2 linked regions of the Callithrix jacchus genome follow. The protein of the gene in region 2 purifies or fractionates together with the protein of the main gene of each other region. This does not show direct contact. Links are inferred from orthologs where the notes say so. Each region holds a gene or a part of one and is shown on either strand. Other genes may lie near its edges.

The links.
Region 1: the proteins of BAZ1B (region 2) and MYO1C purify together in Homo sapiens (affinity purification with western blotting; 3 studies listed by BioGRID, with this or other methods). This does not show direct contact. The link is inferred for Callithrix jacchus from reciprocal best matches to the Homo sapiens genes BAZ1B and MYO1C.

The regions. Positions count from the first base shown.
Region 1 is NC_133506.1:66,755,694-66,759,502, reverse strand, and holds part of MYO1C (unconventional myosin-Ic), read right to left. Parts: coding exon 3,765-3,809; intron 3,649-3,764; coding exon 3,566-3,648; intron 3,347-3,565; coding exon 3,241-3,346; intron 3,068-3,240; coding exon 2,987-3,067; intron 2,717-2,986; coding exon 2,625-2,716; intron 606-2,624; coding exon 511-605; intron 434-510; coding exon 387-433; intron 278-386; coding exon 197-277; intron 1-196.
Region 2 is NC_133503.1:10,210,222-10,214,030, forward strand, and holds part of BAZ1B (tyrosine-protein kinase BAZ1B), read left to right. Parts: intron 1-1,262; coding exon 1,263-2,964; intron 2,965-3,809. UniProt on the Homo sapiens protein: Atypical tyrosine-protein kinase that plays a central role in chromatin remodeling and acts as a transcription regulator. Involved in DNA damage response by phosphorylating 'Tyr-142' of histone H2AX (H2AXY142ph).

The sequences.
Region 1 (3,809 bases), on a different chromosome or scaffold from region 2:
TGCCATTGCACTCCAGCCTGGGTAACAACAGCGAAACTCCGTCTGAAAAAAAAAAAAAGCAGCAGCCAAAGAGGCACCTAGAAGCAGCCCCCTAGACACCCACAGATGTGCACACGGGCACCAACACGGGCTCACACGCATGCTGCCAGCTCCCAGGCTGGCTCAGCCCTCACCCACGCCTGGCCCCACCCCTCACCGTCTCCGGCCGTTTCTTGTCACTGAGCTCACTCCGGTTGAAGCACTGGCTCATAATGGGATTCTTCGAGCTGCACATGGTCTGTGTGGCAGAGCCGGGGTCAGGCTGGAGCACAGGGACAGGCCCCTGGACACAGGTGCAGAGTTGTGGGTGACCCCTTCCCCCTCGGCCCCCACTTCAGGTCCCTCACCTCCTTCAGGTTCCGGAAGAGAAGGTCATTGTTTTTGTCCAGAAACCCTGGGAGGGGAGAGCACATGTGAGGTGAGACAGAGGCTCCCTGCGGCCCCCGTGAGGACCCAGCCCAGGATCCTCACCAGTCACGCTGTAGGTCACCTCCCCAGCGTAGTGCAGAAGGCGGAATTCCTCTCGGCCCAGAGATTTCCTGGTCCGCTGGTCAGCCAGCTTGTGCCTGAGGTGATGGGGAGGAAGCTGCAGGTGGCCGGACTGCAGGAGGGATCTCAGGAGCAGGAGCCAGCCACCCAGCAAAGAGTAGGCACACCCCAGGGCTGGGTCGTAACCCCTGCGCCGTGTGGGAGGCCAGACAGGGCCAGCAGCCTCCCCCAGCAGAACAGACCACAGTGGCTCAGAGAGGTAGACAGCCTTGCCCAGGGCCACACAGTGCCAGGACCAGGGCCTGGGCCTCCTGACTGCCAGGGCTGCTGCAGGGAGGGCAACTCTCGCTGCTTCGGGCTCTGCTCGAAAGGGGGTGGTGAGCTGCCTGCTGCTTTTCAGAATGGAATCTGCCGCCTGGAGAGAGTACGTTAGTCCAAGGCGTGTTTATACCCTTTGGTCCACTTACTACTTTTAAGAACTATTCCAGGCAATAACCAGAAATACAGACAAAGATAGAAGCATGGAGATGGGTGGTAGCCTTGAGATTCCAGCAGAAACCTGGGGTTGGCCTGGGGCCCCCAAAGGCCAGAGGAAAAAGTGTGTGGGTCAGAGCCTCGGCAAGGAGGGTTTTGAGAAAACTTTCTGTTTGATGCTGCAGGAAAACACTCAGGATACAGCATTGCCCTAAGCCTTGTATACAATAAGTTCCTGACTACAAAAAAAAAAAAAAAAACATATGGAAAAAGGCCAGAGGGAAATGCCTGGTGCTGTTGACAGCCACGGCCTGTAGCTGACAGGTTCACGGGGCTTTTGCGAACATTCCAACGCTTCTCCAACGAGCGGGATCATTTTTATAACCAGAAACAAGTTTTTTTTTTTTTATTTAATGAATCATGCGGCCCCCAAACCAGCATAGATTCAGAGAGACTCCCAGAAACAAGTTTTTTCCTTTTTGAGACAGAGTCTCACTCTGCCACCCAAGCTGGAGTGCAATGGTGGGCTCACTGCAACCTCCACCTCCCGGGTTCAAAGGATTCTCCTGCCTCAGCCTCCCAAGCAGCTGGGATTACAAGTGCGTGCCACCATACCTGACCAATTTTTGTATTTTTAGTAGATGGGGTTTCACTATGTTGGCCAAGGAACTCCTGATGTGAGGTGATCCACCTGCCTCAGCCTCCCAAACTGCTGGGATTACAGGCATGAGCCACCACACCTGGCCAGAAACAAGCCTTATTATGCAAAAAAATACTATGGCTTTGGCATTCAACAGCCTTGGGACTGAGCCCCGCTCAGCTCCCCAGATGAGAGATGACCTGGGGAAAGAAAGGACTTCCCCCTGGAGTCTCGTGAGATGCAGGAACAACAGGACAGCTCCCTACAGAGCGGCTCAGGTTTGGCAATGACGCACGGAACATCCTGGCCGCTGGTTCCTGTTTCTACCTCTCCCCACTTTAGGGGATTCCTTCAATAAAAAGCAATTTCCAAATAAGGAAGCTAAAAAAATCTCAGCAAGTTTTATTCTCAAAAAAGAATAGGGAGGAAACCAGGCTACTAACGTCGTCTTTTTTTTTGGAGACACTGCAACCTCCGCCTCCCGGGTTCAGGCGATTCTCCTGCCTCAGCCTCTCGAGTAGCTGGGATTACAGGTGTGACCCACCACACCTAGCTAATTTTTATATTTTTAGTAGAGACAGGGTTTATGTTGGCCAGGCTGGTCTTTAACTCCTGACCTCAAAAGATCCACCTCTTCGGCTTCCCAAAGTGCTGTGATGACAGATGTGACCATGTGCCCAGCTGTCTTTTTCACTTTTTGAGATGGGATCTTGCTCTGTGGCCGAGGCTGGAGGTGGATTGATCCTCGCTCACTGCAGCCTCAAACTCAGGGCTCAAGTGAAGCTGTGGCCCTAGCCTCCTGTGCAGGTGAGACTCACGCGTTCAGCGTGCTTATCTAAGCTTCTCAGTTTTCTGGGTGCTTGTGAGGGATCCTTAGCTCGGCACCTTCCCTGGACACCCCCTTGCGGCTGTGAGGGATGCCTGTGCTCCACAGGCTCTGCCCCACAGGAACCTTGCTCCAGCTGTCCACAGCCCCACTCACGTCAGGAAGTGGGGGTGGTGCTTGACGGTGTCCTCCAACTTCTCCAGGAACGTCAGGTCTGTGGCCTCGCCAGGGCGCAGACACTCCTCATCCTGGGGGGTGTGGCACAGGGGAGGGATGTGTGGCGGTGGGGCCAGAGAGCAGAGAAGATGGGGGCACCATGACGGGAGGCACAGACACAGGGAGGGGTGGATCTGCAGGGGGCCTCGGCAGGGAGCTTCCAACCCTGGCAGCGACTCCCTCCGCCCTCCATTCACAGCCCGGCCAGGCCCTGACTCCAGCCCTCTGTGGGCCAGCCTGGAGAGGAAGGAGACAGGGCACCTGGGGTACTCCCCCACCAGCCTCCAGCCTGGAGGACTCACCAGAATGGAGATGATGCCCTTGAACTTCTCCTCCACCAGATCGCAGATAACCTTGTTGTTGAAATACAGGACAGGCTCCCACTGAGGGGGACAGGGAAGGAGGCATCACCGTGGGGGCCCAGCGTCCTCAGCCACAGCCAGGCTGTGCCATGGAGAGCGCCCCCAGGCTGTGCCCACGGAGAGTGCCCCCAGGCTGTGCCACAGAGAGCACTCCCAGGCTGTGCCCACGGAGAGCGTTCCCAGGCTCCACGCACCGCGATGCCCTCGGCCTCGTACTCCTCCTGCTCCGACTTGAGCGTGAGCTCGATGAACAGCTGCTGCAGCTTCTCGTTGCAGTAATTGATGCAGAACTGTTCAAAGCTGTGAGGACAGAGAAGAGCCCAGCGCGGCTCAGAGGGCACAGAGGACCAGGAGGGGTGGAAGGCAGGACAGGGCCCCTGAGCACAGACAGTACAAAACACAGAGCCGCCCTCTGGCTGGCTGGGCAGTCCCAGAGCAAGAATCAGGCTGGGGGACAGAAGAGAGGGGCCAGGCCAGGAGACCCAGGAGGAGGGCGGGACAGGGGAAGGCGGCACTGACCTGTTATGCTGAAACACTTCAAAGCCGTAAATATCTAGCAGCCCAAGGACGGTAGTGCTCCGCCAGCTGGGGCTGTCCACATCCTAGGGCAGTCATTCAACCAAAGACATGGCCCCAGCGATGTCTGCCAGCCCACCCACAGCCCTGGCCCCGCCTCTGCCTCCCTCCCACCTTGCAGCAGCCCAGACCCAGCCCTTACCTTGGAGGCCAGTGACCTGTTGATCTTCCCAACCAGCCAGCTGAA
Region 2 (3,809 bases):
TTTGTTTTGAGATCAGGGTCTTGCTTTGTCCCTCAGTCTGTAGTACAGTGGCGTGATCTCGGCTCACTGCAACCTCCTTCTGGCTTCAAGCGATCTTGTCCCTCAGCCTCCTGAGTAGCTGGGATTACAGGCATGTGCCCCCACACCTGGCTTTTTTGTTTTTGAGATGGAGTTTTGCTCTTGTTACTCAGTTTGGAGTACAATGGCACAATCTCTGCTCACTGCAACCTCTGTCACCTGGGTTCAAGTGATTCTCCTGCCTCAGCCTCCCAAGCAGCTAGGATTACAGGCATGCACCACTACACCTGGCTAATTTCGTATTTTTAGTAGAGACAGGGTTTTTCCATGTTGATCAGGCTGGTCTCTAACTCCCAACCTCAGGTGATCTACCTACCTCGGCCTCCCAAAGTGCTGGGATTACAGGCGTGAGCCACCATACCAAGCCATGCCTGGCTATATTTGTATTTGTAGTAGAGATGGAGTTTCACCATGTTGGCCAAGCTGGTCTCCCAACTGCTGACCTCAAGTGATCCGCCTACCTCAGCGTCCCAGAATGCTGGGATTACAGACATAAGCCACTGCGCCCGCCTAGAATGAGTTTTCAAAAGCCTGGGGTGAGGACAGCGGGGAGTTTGAGATACCAGGAGGCCCAGGTCAGGAGGCATCTTTTTCTGTGAGCAGTATTCATGTTGTTCTTAGGCTCACCAATGCTTCTATTAGAAAATATGCTTCAGAGTTTAGACAAAAGTACTTAAAATGGTATCATTTCTACTTAAAAGCATAGAATGCCTTGCCTAAGAACAAATAGTGAAAGGATGAAAATTAGTCTTGTTTCAGGAACAGTGCTTTTTAAACTTTTCAGATCTTTAAAGATGTAGAGCAGACATCTTTAATCTGGGATCCATGGATGGATTCTCTGAAACTGTATGCATAGTTTTTGTCTACTATTTCTGGTGGAGGGGTTCACAGATTTTGTTAAACTATTTAAGAACCATTAATATATATAAACAAAGAACTAGTTACATAGCAAAAATGTCTAGTATCAAGTCTGGATATCAAGGGAATTTTGTGTTGACATGGCAAAAACATTAGCTAACATTTATTTCTTTGTTTTTTTCAGGGACACAGTTTCTGTGAAGGTATAAGACTATGTAGCTTTACCTGAATAACTGGGGAAGAGAGCCTTTAAGATGCTTAAATGTTGCTTCTTTAAGTTAGTTTTAGTTTTTCAAATTAATTTTGCTCCTATTCTTAAATTCTAGTATATGACTCTCAACCCTTCTACTAAGAGGAAGAATACTGGATCCCCAGACAGGAAGCCCTCAAAGAAATCTAAGACAGACAACCCTTCTCTGAGTTCACCACTAAACCCTAAGTTATGGTGTCATGTACACTTGAAAAAGTCATTGAGTGGCTCACCACTCAAAGTGAAGAACTCAAAGAATTCCAGATCTCCCGAAGACCATCTAGAAGAAGTGATGAAGATGATGTCGCCCAATAAGCTGCACGCTAACTTTCACATTCCTAAAAAAGGCCCAGCTGCCAAGAAACCAGGGAAGCACAGTGACAAGCCTTTGAAGGCAAAGGGCAGAAGCAAAGGCATCCTGAATGGACAGAAGTCCACAGGGAATTCCAAATCTCCCAAAAAAGGACTGAAGACTCCTAAAACCAAAATGAAGCAGATGACTTTGTTGGATATGGCCAAAGGCACGCAAAAGATGACACGGGCCCCACGGAACTCTGGGGGTACACCTAGGTCCTCTAGTAAACCTCATAAACATCTGCCCCCTGCAGCCCTACACCTAATTGCCTACTACAAAGAAAACAAAGACAGGGAAGACAAGAGGAGCGCCCTGTCCTGTGTTATCTCCAAAACAGCTCGTCTTCTCTCTAGTGAAGACAGAGCTCGTCTCCCAGAAGAATTGCGAAGTCTTGTTCAAAAACGATATGAACTTCTAGAGCACAAAAAGAGGTGGGCTTCTATGTCTGAAGAGCAACGGAAAGAATATTTGAAAAAGAAACGGGAGGAGCTGAAAAAGAAGTTGAAGGAAAAAGCCAAAGAACGAAGAGAGAAAGAAATGCTTGAGAGATTAGAAAAACAGAAGCGTTATGAGGACCAAGAGTTAACTGGCAAAAACCTTCCAGCATTCAGATTGGTGGATACCCCTGAAGGACTGCCCAACACGCTGTTTGGGGATGTGGCCATGGTGGTGGAGTTCTTGAGTTGTTATTCTGGGCTACTCTTACCAGATGCTCAGTATCCTATTACTGCTGTGTCCCTTATGGAAGCCTTGAGTGCAGATAAGGGTGGCTTCTTATATCTTAATAGGGTGTTGGTCATCCTCTTACAGACCCTACTACAAGATGAGATAGCAGAAGACTATGGTGAATTGGGAATGAAGCTGTCAGAAATCCCTTTGACGCTGCATTCTGTTTCAGAGCTGGTGAGGCTCTGCTTGCGTAGATCTGATGTTCAGGAGGAAAGTGAGGGCTCAGACACGGATGACAATAAAGATTCAGCTGCATTTGAGGATAATGAGGTACAAGATGAGTTCCTAGAAAAGCTGGAGACCTCTGAATTTTTTGAGCTGACGTCAGAAGAGAAGCTACAGATCTTGACAGCACTGTGCCACCGGATCCTCATGACATACTCAGTGCAAGACCACATGGAGACCAGACAGCAGATGTCTGCAGAGTTGTGGAAGGAGCGGCTTGCTGTTTTGAAGGAAGAAAATGATAAGAAGAGAGCAGAGAAACAGAAACGGAAAGAAATGGAAGCCAAAAATAAAGAAAATGGAAAAGTGGAGAATGGGTTAGGCAAAACCGATAGGAAAAAAGAAGTTGTGAAGGGTGAGCCCCAAGTGGATACAGAAGCTGAAGACATGATTAGTGCTGTGAAGAGCAGAAGATTGCTTGCCATTCAAGCTAAGAAGGAACGGGAAATCCAGGAAAGAGAAATGAAAGGTAAAATTTCATGCGAGAACAAAGGGGAGCTCTGTAGAAGATGGTAAAAGAAAGGAAATTACTGAGCTGATGGTGGAATCTGTTTGCTTACTTACTTCTCTATGTAGTAACCCAGCACCTATTGGTATGTATTTTATTTTTTCTTAGTTCTGTTGATAATTTCATAGTTTAGCTGGAGTGTTCAGCCTGGCATTCTGATTAGTTAATAAGTTAATGTGATATTGGCATCTTTTCTGGGTTTAATAAAAGACCAAATCCACAAATAGGCATAGTGGAAACAACAAAGAACTTGGGAATGGACTGAGCTAGCTTCAGGTCCCGGCTCTGACTTAGCTGTGCAGTGTTCCTTTGCGGGGGATAAGTAACCAGGTCCCAGCTCTGACTTAGCTGTGCAGTGTTCCTTTGTGGGGGATAAGTAACCAGGTCCCAGCTCTGACTTAGCTGTGCAGTGTTCCTTTGTAGGGGATAAGTAACCAGATCCCAGCTCTGACTTAGCTGTGCAGTGTTCCTTTGTAGGGGATAAGTAACCAGATCCCAGCTCTGACTTAGCTGTGCAGTGTTCCTTTGTAGGGGATAAGTAACCAGATCCCAGCTCTGACTTAGCTGTGCAGTGTTCCTTTGCGGGGGATAAGTAACCAGGTCCCAGCTCTCACTTAGCTGTGCAGTGTTCCTTTGTGGGGGATAAGTAACCAGGTCCCAGCTCTCACTTAGCTGTGCAGTGTTCCTTTGTGGGGGATAAGTAACCAGGTCCCAGCTCTGACTTAGCTGTGCAGTGTTCCTTTGGGCTGGATAAGTAACCAGGTCCCAGCTCTGACTTAGCTGTGCAGTGTTCCTTTGGGCTGGAT